2 linked regions of the Lonchura striata genome follow. The protein of the gene in region 2 binds, or shares a complex with, the protein of the main gene of each other region. Links are inferred from orthologs where the notes say so. Each region holds a gene or a part of one and is shown on either strand. Other genes may lie near its edges.

Region 1 (5,829 bases), on a different chromosome or scaffold from region 2:
GTCCCATTACCAGAACACTGGCTTAAGAAAATTATCAAATTTGGATTATAAGGCACATGAACTTTTTAAACTTATATTAGTATATTGATATTTGAAATCCCATCACTCTGATATAGTTCTGAAGTAATGAGCTATAAAATACCATTTTAACACAAAAATACACACTTTGAGATTCTATTCTTGTGCAAACAAATGTTCCAAAATAATTCAGAATGGATTATTTTTGCAATGAAAGTAACAGTGGGCAATTTTAAAATATGCACTAAAGTTCTTACTTATAAATTGATCTGGCAACAATGAAGAATTAGTTTTTCTACCAGGACTTCACTAAGATGATTAATTATATATGATTAATACCTTTATAGATAATTAGTAACACTGGAAGCAAGTTTTGAAAGTTCTGTTTCATTCTCTTGATACTTGGACAAAAAAATTTCAATTGAAAATAAACCTACAATAAACTGGCAGGGAAATTTTCGTGTAGAGGAGAGCAATATGTGTGAAAACTGTGTGGAAAATGTTTTCTTTTTGTTGAAACCTTGTTCAACAGCCCAGAGTTGTAGAGGTGAACGAGACTAAAACAAACACTCATTCTAAAGAGCTCTGCCAGTAAATAACTTACAAAACACCAAAGATTTCCAAAAGAGTTTAATAAATAATGAGGTTCTTTCTGTACTGTATAAACTATAAATATACCATGCAGTCCTTTATAACTTAAAATAATTTACAGGCTGAGGTAGGGGGGTCGGAGGGCGTGGGCTCAGGGCCTGGCCGCCTTCCTGCTGAGCACGCAGACGCAGGCGGTGTCGATGCGGATGAACCTCCAGGCCGCCTGCTTGCCCTCCATGGTCAGGGCCTTGACGAAGGTGTGGGTGGTGGTGCAGTACGAGTTCCAGTGCTTGGCGTCGATGCCGCGGCACCCGCCCGACACCGGCTTGGGGTCCCTGCACTTGGTCTCGAAAAAGTACTGCTTAAAGACGTTGTTGTTGATGTTGACCTCGCCCAGCACCGTCACCTCCTTGCCCTTGATGTCGGTGGCCGTGGTTTTGTCCCCGACCCACATGCTGACGCTGTCGCACACCGAGAACTCCCCGCGGTGCAGCACGGGGTGCGTGCTCCTCCTGCTCCTGGCAGTCCTGTTGAGAGCCCCCGTGCTGCTGAGAAATCCCAAATTCCGGCCCTGCCCGGCCACCGGCGGGGGCTCCGTGCTGAACAGCACGCGGGGAGACCGGAAACGCCGCTTCCGAAAGATTTTGGGGTCCACGGTGATGTTTAGAGCTTCTCTCCTGCCGAGGCTCCACGTGGCGTGGCCGTGGGATGTCTGCGGAGCCTCCTGGGCAATGTGGGGTCGGTCGCTCCAGGTACTGAGCAGGGAGTGTTCTGCAGGAAACTCCAGTGGAGCATTGTCCTCTGACTTGGGAGCTGCCTGTGTGCCGATCAAAAAAGCTGCAGTCAGAGTGTAGAACAGCATGGGCATTACGTTCTGACCTAGAACGAGAGAGAAGGGCACTGTTACTGCAGTCAGAGTGTAGAACAGCAGGGGCATTACATTCTGACCTAGAACGAGAGAGAAAGGCACTATTACTGCAGTCAGAGTGTAGAACAGTGTGAGCATTACATTCTGACCTAGAACGAGAGAGAAGGGCACTGTTACTGCAGTCAGAGTGTAGAACAGCAGGGGCATTACATTCTGACCTAGAACGAGAGAGAAGGGCATTGCTACTGCGAGCCAGGTGGGCACAAACTGCTGCTGTTCTGGCCATACATTTATCAGATACCCAGGATCATACGGATTTCATCAGGTATTCATGTGAGTGCCAGATGTTGTTCTTCCGGAAGAGTTCATTCAGACAGCATCAGTGTTCTTAATAAAGCGAGAACATTAGAAAATAATAGCTAGATTATTATTAATTCCTCTGGTATTTGTTGTTAGAGCACTGTTTATGAAGCACTTGTTTGGTGTTATTAATGTGGAGACCATATGGTGACAGCATGTTCCCAGGAGTCAGATCTCTAGTGAGTTTTGCAGCAACCTTTTTGGCCTGGGCTGGTCTCTTGGCTGCACAGGAGTGAAAGTAGAAGCAGTCCCATGGCTAAAACAGCTATCCATTCCCTAAATTTGTCTGCAGAGGTGTTCTTGGGGCTACAGTGGGGGCCACCAAGCCAGCACCTCGTGCTATTATCATACCCTCAGCAGACACACTCACCCGCCACGTGGCCAGGCCCCACTGCTGGCTGGCTCAGCAGCCTCCAGCAGCTGCCTGCTCTCCCAGCTGCCCTTCCAGGACACACCACATCACTGAGTTAGGGCAGATAAAGCCCAGGCTCCTTCCTCCAAGAGCTCAGGTATCTGTGTCACAAGGGCAGATGGGATTTTTCCACATTCAAGGGCAAATATGGGAGCACTGTGGGTACCAAAGTACCTCTGTTTAGATACAGCACAGCTGTGTGGCCAATGTACTGTGAATTCTGGACAGAGAAACACCTGGTTTTTTTCAGAATGCCACGAGCAAGAAGTCCCCAAAAGTCCCTGCGGAGCAGATGCAGTGACAGTGCTGGTCCTCCTTCAATCCAGAGGACAGGGACATCTGTTTGGGTGTGGAAAAGGGCAAGCCAAATGTCTAAACCTTTGCTAAGACCCATTTCATGCTGGAAGATCAGCAGCACCAATACCTCATTGGGCAACTACCAGAGCTGACTAATTCAGCCACATGTTGGGAATGAGAGACATTCAAAAATGCTCTGGAATTGCAGTGAAGGGCAGACATTGTGTTTCCTCTGTAAAGACTTAATAAGAAGAGACAGGGTATAAACAGAAAATCCCGGGTGAGGCTCCTCCCCGTCTCTTTGCCTTGTTTTCCTGACATGTCTCAGCTGGCCCCGAGCGCTGCCGTGGCTGGCCAGCAGGCAGGGAGCCCCAAAGCCACTGGACAAACAGGGTTTTGTACCAGAGGAATTGGGCTCTGCAGTTCCACTGTGATTTCCCAGAATTTCTCTGTGTTTTTTCTGGGTGTGGGTCAATTATGGTTGCAGTTCCCCCTCTCTGTGGAGCTTTCTCAGATTAGAATCCCAAGCAGCACTAAAGGACTCGACCGGGGTGCTCTGCCAGAGCATAATCCTGTGGAAAATGCAGAACAACCCTAAGATGTCCCACAGGATCTCATGTGTCTTATCTCAGACAGGAGCTGAAATGACATAAACAGCAAGGTTTGCGCAGGGCTGAGCAAACATTTAAGGAGCCAGCAGGAGACACCAAGTGAAGGCAGTGACTGAGGAGGGGAAGCAGAGCCTGTGTGGAGAGGAGGAAGGAAGAGAAAGGCCAAAAGCCGTGTGAGCACTTGTCTGTGCAACTGTTGGGCTGGAGGCACTGGGGACAAAATGATGACGAGGAGAGAGTCAAATGTTTGTCACAGAGCAAATCCTTACTGTTCCAAAGGCACTTTAATTTGTTTAAAGCAAGGCTGAGGGTTGCTGCTTTCCCACGTGCTGCTCGTGCTGGAGCACTCGTCATCCTCTGTATAAGGAAACAGAGCTGGGTGTAGCTCGGAGCTGGGCTGTGCACCCTGCAGAGAGTAACCCCTTGTTCCACAACCAAACCAAAGTCAGATGGTTCATTGCATCTCTCAAGAGTCAGCTTTCCCGACAGAAATGTTAATGGAAAAGGTTTGCAGAATAAAATCCAGGCACAATTTAGCCATGCCAATAGGAGCCTCAGTGTATTGTGTTTATGCATAAACCCCTTTTTTATTATTTCCTTCTATAGGAAAGAGATGCTGCAATGTCAGCAACGAGCTGGTTCTGGTTTTGTGCTATACAAGATTTGCTGCTCTGAAATGCAGCTACATTTACCTCCCTTCTCTGGATTTCTTGTGTTGCCTGTGCTGAGATTTTTGATTTAAGGCCATTAACACAAAAGCAGAAAGATCTTGCCTGCTTGCCTTTTTTCTGTAATTGCCTTGTATTTCTTTTCCTTGTGCTAAATCATTATGCGGAGTATGGTCAAAACACAGACAGAACATATTTGGGGTACATGGTAACTTTTCTGAAGATTCCAAATGGAATATTTTTATCAGTTAGTGAGTTAGTGGAGAATAGAAAGTGACACATTAAAAAAGTGAACTCGATGACAACCCAGGCAAGAGAAGTTGATATTAAAGAACAGGTGTGCCTTGGGCTGTGAGGGTTGTGAACTCTTTTGCTGGCACACAGAGGTATTTTACAGGCTATTCTGGGGAGTTTTGGGGTGTCTCTGCCCATGGCAGAGGGGCTTGGAACAGGATGAGCTTCAAGATCCCTTCCAACCCAAACCATTTTGGGATTCTGTGTTTCTCTCTCCAGACTTTGTCACGTAATTAGTTATTAGAGCCTCTGATGGTGCTTTCTGGAGACGCTCACAGTGGATGCCTTGTGCAGCCACCTGCACTTGCAGGGGATGTGCAGCTGCCAGTTCCAGTGCTGGGGGTCCACAGTGTCTGATGGGAACCCTGGGCACAAAGGTTATCACAGGCATGGTAATGCCAAAATTACACCACCTGTGCTAACCCCACTTCGTGCTGGGCAAGTGTCATGAACCCTTCCTCTGGAGCAGCTGCAGTGGGAGCCTGGCCAGGGGTGACTCCAGGCTGCTGGGGCAGCGAGTGCTGGCTTACCTCTGCGTGGACTGCACGAAGAACTGCTCCCCCAGCAAGGTCCTTACTTCATCCAGAGCTGAGCCGGGCTGGGCTGCACCTTGCCATGGGGCCCTGCTGCTCCTGCCAGCTGCGTGTGCCACGGGTCACTAGGGCAGAAGGGTTGGTGTCAATAATCAGCCAGAAAATCAGTGTTCTCAGTGCCATTCCCATTCCCCCTTGGCAGCAGGAGCACAGGGACAGACCCCCTTGGCTTTCTGAGCTGTGCCTTTTCCCTGTCACAGCACCAAGTTTGTCCAAAGCAGTTCCAGACTTTGCAGAGCAGCACGTTTGTAAGACTTTGTGGAGTGGTTATTCCCACTCCTCTCAGGCACCTTGCAGGCTCAGCAAACCCAGGAGTGGGGCAGCAATACCTGATGGCACTGCACAGCAGCCAGGCACAAACCAGGGCTCATGGCCCCAACATCTGTTCTGGGAAGCAAAATTGGTTGCAATTAAATTCAGGAGGAGAAGCACAAATTGGCATTTATTGGCAGACAATTATCTGATTGTGGCTGATATTTGAGAAGAATTAAAGACACAAAACTCACAGGCACATAAAAGCAAATACTTAGGTGTTGTGTTGCTGCTGTAAGGGCAGCAATGACTCCGGTCTTAATCACTACATTGGGAATGGTCATCCAGACCCCAGCTAAAGGAAAACCATTCTTTTCTTCACCAATTAAATCCAGCACACTGACACCTTTTCAGCAAAACACATTTTCTGATTGTAAATTCATGGCACTGAATGGAACAGAAATAGTATTTTATTCATCTTATTATTCAATAGCTTATCTGCCCAATTTCATAAGGGAAGTAGGGGTTGGATAAGGTAAATAGGGGTTGTATAAGGTAAATAGGGGTTGGATAAGGTACTCCTGTACTGCAGAAATCCTGCTGCATCAGGCTGAAGTGCATTTGCTAAGGAGAACAAGCTGCTAACCAAAACATGAATTGGACTCACTTTCCACCTGCACAGTCTGTCAGTGGGAGCACTGGCTGCCAGCAAAGGCAGCCACTAGGTTTGGCTCTTACAACACCCAGGTGCAAGTTACTTGATGTTTAAACCTCCAGCTGAAACCTTCCCAGGCTGTTTCCATCAGTGCAGGACACAGGAGTCACCCTGTTACGTGCACAGTGGTTTGGCCACCGCCGTGGTCAG
Region 2 (7,259 bases):
GCCCCGTGCAGCCCAGGACGGGCCCCCCCCAGTTTTTGGGGGATTCGGGAGCACAGGGCTGCCGGGGGGGCCGGCAGTTGCCCGCACTCCTGCCCAGATCGATGGTTTCCCACTCAGCAGCACAGCCCCGCCCGCCCCCGCGATGTGCCCGTGGGCAGCGGGACCATCGATCCCACGCGGGCACGGGGACCGACCACCCCGCACCGGGGCCAGCGCCCCGGGGGGACCGGGGGGACCATCCCCGAGCGGAGGGGAGGGGGAGACTCACACGTGGCTCAGCCTGGGGGTGTCCTGGAAGGCGTCGGCAGAGATGTGCTGCAGCCCCGTCCTGGAGATGGTGCTGGAAGGAGGGAAGGGCTGAGCACCCGCGCTGTGCAGCCCCAATCTCCCTCTTGGGAGCGGCCCCTGTGGCTCCGATCGAGCCCTGGGGATCCTCCCCCTCCACCAGCCCTTCCCTCCCTCCGATTCCCCGGGCAGGGACCCCATCCCCGGGCTGCTCACAGGTTCCTGAGGTCCCGCAGCGTCCTGGTGTCAGCTCGGGTCAAGGTGGTGAGCGCCGGCTGGTTCTCGATGATGCTGGAAGGCAAAGGAGAGGGCTCAGGGTGGCAGCCCACGACCCCTCATGCCCGGGGCTGTTGGCAAAGCGTGGGGCATGAGAGCTCTCCCGCTCCCCAGGCCGTGCCCACAGCCGGGGATGGGGACAAGGATGGAGCTGAGCCACCCCACTGTGCCTCAGTTTCCCCTGGGATGAGCTGGGAAGAAGGGGGGATGGCAGCAGGTGGTCCCGGTGGTGCCGAGCCCCCGATCAGTGCGAACTGTGTGGGGTCAGGGCTGAGCCACCACTGGGAGTCCACACAGAATAAGTTTGCTGGGTCCCAGCCCCACTCACCCTTTGGGTGCCCACCTTTTCTCACACCCCAGGGTGTCCTGCACTGTGACAGGGACACCGCTGTCACTGTCCCCCCATCGCTTTATTCTTCAGGAGATGAAGAAAAGCCCCTGTGGGAGCAGGGCTTTTCCCTGCCCCACCCCACAGGCTGCTGCTGTGAGCCCCAGATCACAGGGGTTGGTTAATGGGGTTCAGAGCCACACCAAGGGGGGTTTGGCCGCCCTGACCCCCGTGAGGGTGGGATGAGAGCAGCTGGGGCAGTGGGACGGCCGGGGTTCTCTCGGGGACCACCATCCCCACCACCAGCCACCCCACCCTACCCCACCAGCCAGCGAACAAAGAGCTGGCAGCGCCTGTGGCGCAGCATCCCCTGGCACGTGGGGAAACTGAGGCACGGAGACACTGCAGCCAGGCCCCAGCGATGCGGCACAGGCAGCGCTGTGGGGTGGGGGGAAACCCCAGGAATTGGGGCACTTTGGGGGCCTGCAGCACCCCGGCACCCCCAGCACCCTCCCATCTCTGCTCGCTCCAGCCCTTGTCTCCCCACCACGCATCCTGCAGCGGGGGAAGCAGAGTGGATGCCCCAAAGCAGCAAATGTGGGGTGTGTCCCCCCCCAGCATGCCAACCCACAGACCCCAGGGCACAGCGACACCCCCAGCAGGGTGGGGACAAGCGGCTGCCCACAGCCCTGCCCTGCCCAGCACGGCGTGGGCGCTCCCCGCCCGGGGTCCCTGCTGCACCCTCAGCGTTTTGCCCTGGTTGGCATCGCCGCAGGAGGGGGTGAAGAGCTGCCCCCAGCCCCTCGCTTGCTCCCTGGGAGGATGCTGCAGCCCCCCCACCCCATTTTGCAGCCCCCAGGCTCTCCCCCCGCAGCGATCCCAGCCCGTCCAGCGATCCCTGCTCCAGCCCAGCCCCGCCATCCTGTCCCCGAGCTCATCCCCTCCATCCGCAGCACTGCCCGGTCCGTCAGCTCTGCTGCCCCCAGCCACAGCACCTCACCCCCAGCCACAACCCTCACCAGCCCCCCTGCCGGTCCCCAAAATCCCTCACTCCCGACCCCATCATCTCCATCCCTGTCACCGCCAACTCCATCGCTGCACCACGGCATCCCCCGGCCCCGTCACCCCCAGCTCCTCTGCCTGCTCCCCGCGCTCTGTCCCCCCCAAACCCCGTCACCCCCAGCTCCTCTGCCTGCTCCCCGCGCTCTGTCCCCATCAAACCCCGTCACCCCCACCCCAGACCCCGTCACCCCCACCCCAAACCCCGTCACCCCCACCCCAGACCCCATCACCCCCACCCCAGACCCCGTCACCCCCACCCCAGACCCCGTCACCCCCACCCCAGACCCCGTCACCCCCGGTTCCACCGCGCTGCCCCATCGGTCCCGGTGCCTCTGCCCGGTGTCTGAGCTCCATCACCCCGAGCCCCGGCCCCATCGCCCCCGGCCCCACTCACACGTCGGTGAAGCTGCCGCTTCCCAGCAGCGGGGCCAGGCTGCCCACGGTGTCGGGCTCCCGGCAGAGCAAAATCCCGGCCCCGGGGCAGCGGCAGGGCCGGGGGCAGGCACCGGCAGCGCCCGGGGCTGGCAGGGACAGGGGCAGGAGCAGCGCGGCCAGGCAGAGCCAGGCGGGCAGCGGCGGCATCGCGGGGCCGGTCCCGGGGCCGGTGCCGGTCCCGGTGCCGGTGCCGCTGCTCCGGTGCCGCCCTCCCTCGCACTTGCCCGGCAGCCCGAGCACGGGGCCGTGCGGGGCTTAAAAGCAACGCACGGACCGGCCTCCCGGGAGGGGCCGGCGGCTCCCCCCGCCCCGGCACCGCCCCCGCCCCGGCCCGAGACACCCCCGGCCGTGATTCACCGGCACCGGGAATACTCCGACCCGGGGCAGGGGTCTCCGCACACGGGCACCGACCCGCCTGTGCCCTACCCGTGCCCTGCCGCCACCCTCCCTGCAGGCTGGCACCCTACACCTGCACCCCCAGCCCCACCGAGGGGATCCGTCCCACCGCTGGATTCCCAAAATTCCCCCAAAATTCCTGGAGCACGCCCGTGCACACGCACGGACGCCACACCCGCTCCAGGACCTGCCTCGCCGCGGGCTGCAGCATAAGGGACAGGGCTTATCGCCATCCCGGGGGCCACCTACAGCCCCCCAGGCTGTCACCTCCCCCGAGGGTGCCCCCAAATCTCGAGGCGTGATGGCCTCTCCTGGAAGGAGCTCTTCCCAGCACCCCGTTATGTCGGGGCGCGGAGATGCTGGAGACAGGGGGGACGTTTGGTGGCACAGTGGCCCTGTCCCCAGCTGTCACCTCCGACCAGGACCCACCTCGTCCTCCTCCCCGAGGTGGGGCAGGGCAGGACAGGGTTCCCCATGCCCACCCGGATGCTGTTTTTCCCCGAACTCGCTCGGGAGCACGTCGGGGGTGGCTCATCCGAGCGTTGATTTCTGCACGTTCTCAGCCCGCACCCTTCCCCCCGCGGCTCATCTCCACCGCCAGCCCCCAGCGGCACCCACAGGGCCACGGTTCCCTCGGGGCCACCTCCCGTGGGGCCCCACTGGACACCCCAGCACCCCCCCGGCCGAGCGGGCCAGTGGCTGTTGCCACATCCTCCTAAATTCCACTGATTTGACGTTTTTCTCGAGAAACGCCCCCGGTTTGGGCACCGCAGGGCAAAGCCACAGGACGCAGATAGGGCCGGCGGCGTGAGGAGTGGGAATCATCGTGTGCCGCCCCCCCGAGCCAGGCACCGCCGCAGCTGAGCTTCATCCCCTTTATTCGCACTCAAATTAGGCAGTGACGCCCCTGCCATGGACCAGCACGGCCTCAGCACTGGTCCCAGTGCAGGGGACTGGGGAGAGACATCAGGGCAACCTCAGGCTTCTCGGAGTGCTGTGACTCAGTTTCCCCGCCTGTGGAAGGTGTGGGGGTCACAGGGGTGGCTGACCCGCTTGCCAGGCAGCTGGGCAGCGATGACAGGGGCAGGTTGATGGGGGACCCAAATGCCAAACCCTGCTACCCATTCCCATACCCACATTATCCCACCCCCCAAAAAAAAGTAAGGAAAGACTGGGGTGTTCTCCTCCCAACCAGCAGCCCCCCACTCCCTCCCCCCGACTCGGAGTACCCCCAATTTAATTTTCAGGGGCAATGCACCCCACGGAACATCCTTGCCTTGCTGCCACCCTCTTCCCAAGGCACCCACTCCCCGGCTGGGCCCTTGGAAGCAATAAATAATGCAGGGGGGGTCCCAGCAGTGGGGGGTGGCAGGAGAAGGGCGTGGGGTGCAGAGTCCAGCGGGGTCCGAGGGCACCCCGGGGTCAGAGCGGGGCTGTCCCGTTGGGGAGCTGGTCCTTGCGTGCGGGCAGGGGGGACGCGGGGGGCTCATCCTCCTCGGGGGGCGGCTGTGTCTCGGTGTTGGAGGGCTCTCCCGAGCCGTGATGGCCGTTCTCGGGGCTGTAGAAGAAGGAGAGGGTGCGGAAAGCAGGCGCCATGTGGTCCTTGATGCGCTCCAGGAGCTGGACGAAGGAGGGGCGCTGGCGTGGGTTCTGCTGCCAGCACAGGCACATCAGCTCGTGGCTGTGGAGAGAGGGCACCTGCTGGCTTCGGGGGGCTCCCAGCACGGCAGAGAGGAGGATTTCCCCCGGCAGCCTTCCCCACAGCCGGCTGTGGCAGTGAGGGGGTGCCCCCGCGGCACTCACAGCTTGTCGGGGCAGTTCTCGGGCCGCTCCAGGATGCCGTTGTCCATGACGAAGCGCAGGACCTGCTCGTTGGACATGCCCTGGTAGGGCTGCTCGGCCAGCGTGGCGATCTCCCACAGCACCACCCCGAAGGACCTGCCGGAGCAGCGCTGCTCAGCCGGGGCATCCCCAGACCCCCCGGCTCTGCCCACCCCGGCACCTACCAGACGTCGGACTGCGTGTTGAAGATGCCGTCCTTGAGCGCCTCGGGGGACATCCAGCGCACGGGGAGCAGCCCCTTGCCCCCTTTCCGGTAATAATCCGTCTCATAGATATCCCGGGTCATGCCGAAATCTGGCGGAGGAGGAAGAGGAGGAGGAGGAAGGTGTGAGCAGCCTGCCCCGCCGCTGCCCGCCCACTGTTGGGCGATGCCCTTTGCTGACCCAGAGATGGGGCAGCTGAGAGGTGCTTTAAAAACTTTTATTCTATTTTCAGTCTCATAAGAAGGGCGAGACAATACAGATGTTATAATTCACGCCATTACAATCAGGAGCTAATGATTTCTTAATTACAATACACTCTAAGTGTTTTTTGCCTATCAGCTTTAGCTACACTATGTTGTAAATGCCTCACAGCTCATCATCTAAAATTACTCTTCGTGGGTCCTACTACAATGCATCTTTCATAATTCCATTTCTCTGAAGTATCTAGTCTTTTATGTCAGGCTATCTTTTGAAACTTGTTTCTAGTTCAATCTTTTTCTCAACAATGTCTGTCTTAGACTGTGGTGTTTCTAAGGTAGTTTCTTATCTTATCTCAAGGTTTGTATACAGATACATGCTATACGAGTCTTCTCATGTAATTCACAGAATTCACGGAATTCACAGAATCACAAGGTTGGAAGAGACCTTAAAGATCTTTGAATTCAACCCCTGCCCTAACACCTCAACTAAACCACGGCACTGAGTGCCACATCCAGATCTTAATCACATCCAGGGATGGTGACTCCACCACCTCCCTGGAAAGGCCATTCCAGAACTTTATCACTCTTTCCGTGAAAACCTTTCTCCCAATATCCAACCTGTATTTCCCTTGGACAGCTTGAGACTGTCCTTTGGTTCTGTCAGTTCTTGGAGAAAGAGCCCAACCCCACCTGACTACAACCACCTTCCAGGGAGTTGTAGAGTGACAAATGCACCTCCGAGTCTCCTTTTCTCCAGGCTAAACAACCCCCAGCTCCCTCAGTTGTTCCTCACAGGGTTGGTGTTCCAAGTCCCTCACCAGCCTTGTTGCCTCCTCTGGACGCACTCAAGCATCTCAAGCATCCTCCCCAAACTGAGGGGCCCAGAACGGGACGCAGTTTTATCAGGTTTTGAGACTTTTCTGTGCATCTATTTCTCACACCCACCTCCAATCTTGACGGTGAAGTCCTCGGACACCATGCAGTTGCGGGCAGCCAGGTCCCGGTGCACGAACTTGTTGGCGCTGAGGTAGGCCATGCCGTCGGCGATCTCCCCCGCCATCTGGATCATGTCCTTGAGCGACGGCGGGGGCAGCCCGGGGTTGTTCTGCACCGTGCACGGAGTCAGGGTCACGCCAGGACCCCCCCGGACACCGGGTGAGTGTCCCCCCGGCACCTGAGCAGCCCCTCACCTCGGCTTCAGGCCTGAGCGAACGCAGGTAGCTCTTCAGGTCCCCACGTGTCATCAGCTCCATGATGACCAAAGCTGGCTGGCCCTGGGATACCACGCCGAGCAGACGGACCTGCAGGGACAAAGGGAGCTGGCACGTGAGTGGCCAGACGCCCCCGTGTCCCCTCCCTCTCCCTCAGCTGCCCACCTACCACGTGGTGGCACTTGAAGGCTTTCATGACAGAGGCCTCGTTGAGGAACTCGATGCGCTCCCGCATGGTGGCCAACTCGTTGACTGTCTTCAGGGCCACCTTGGTCTCCTCTCCCTCCGTGACCAGCCCCAGCGCCACCCCCTCATACACCATCCCAAAGGAGCCCTGTCCCAGCTCCCGGATCACCGTGATCTTCTCCCGGGACACCTCCCACTCATCAGGCATGTACACTGTGGGGTGAGTGGGGAGCACCCCATCCCCATCACTGTCACTAACCCCATCTGCATCCCCATCCTCATCTCCATGTCATCACCATCCTAGTCCCTGTCCCCATTCCCATCTCCATCCCATCATCATCCTCCTCCCTGTCCCCACCCCATCCCCATCTTGATCTTCATCCCATTCCCATTCCCATTCCTATTCCCATTCCCATTCCCATCTCCATCCCATCATCTCCATTCCATCACCAACCTCTTCCCTGTCCCCACCCCATCCTCATCTTGATCTTCATCCCATTCTCATTCCCGTCTCCATGCCATCACCATCCTTCTCCCTGTCCTCATCTCCCTGCCATTCCCATTCCCATTCCCATCCCCATTCCATTCCCATTCCCATCTCCATCCCATCATCTTCATCCCATCACCATCCTCCTCCCTGTCCCCAACCCATCCCCATCTTGATCTTCATCCCATTCCCATTCCCATCTCCATCCCATCACCATCCTCCTCCCTGTCCACATCCCCATCCCATTCCCATTCCCATTCCCGTTCCCATTCCCATTCCCATCCCTATTCCCATCCCCATTCCCATTCCCATCCCCATCCCATTCCCATTCCCATTCCCATTCCCGTT

Evidence for each region.
Region 1: the proteins of NTRK1 (region 2) and NGF are in contact, whole or in part, in a crystal structure (PDB 1WWW), measured with the Homo sapiens proteins. The link is inferred for Lonchura striata from reciprocal best matches to the Homo sapiens genes NTRK1 and NGF. Residues at the interface, in NP_002520.2 of Homo sapiens: His291, Val294, Glu295, Met296, His297, Cys300, Pro302, Phe303, Ser304, Leu333, Glu334, His343, Gly344, Cys345, Arg347, Thr352, His353, Met379, Asp380, Pro382; in NP_001424474.1 of Homo sapiens: His125, Pro126, Ile127, Phe128, Arg130, Gly131, Glu132, Phe133, Ser134, Ser138, Ser140, Trp142, Tyr173, Phe175, Arg180.

What each region holds. Positions count from the first base shown.
Region 1 is NC_134632.1:1,825,758-1,831,586, reverse strand, and holds NGF (beta-nerve growth factor), read right to left. Parts: upstream 1,485-5,829; 5' UTR 1,478-1,484; coding exon 761-1,477; 3' UTR 594-760; downstream 1-593. UniProt on the Homo sapiens protein: Nerve growth factor is important for the development and maintenance of the sympathetic and sensory nervous systems.
Region 2 is NC_134635.1:1,625,425-1,632,683, reverse strand, and holds the start of NTRK1 (high affinity nerve growth factor receptor), read right to left. Parts: upstream 3,016-7,259; coding exon 2,958-3,015; intron 2,641-2,957; coding exon 2,346-2,640; intron 577-2,345; coding exon 502-576; intron 341-501; coding exon 269-340; intron 1-268. Other genes in the region: INSRR (insulin receptor-related protein), read right to left, coding at 4,205-4,463, 4,586-4,720, 4,789-4,918, 5,973-6,132, 6,218-6,328, 6,408-6,637. UniProt on the Homo sapiens protein: Receptor tyrosine kinase involved in the development and the maturation of the central and peripheral nervous systems through regulation of proliferation, differentiation and survival of sympathetic and nervous neurons.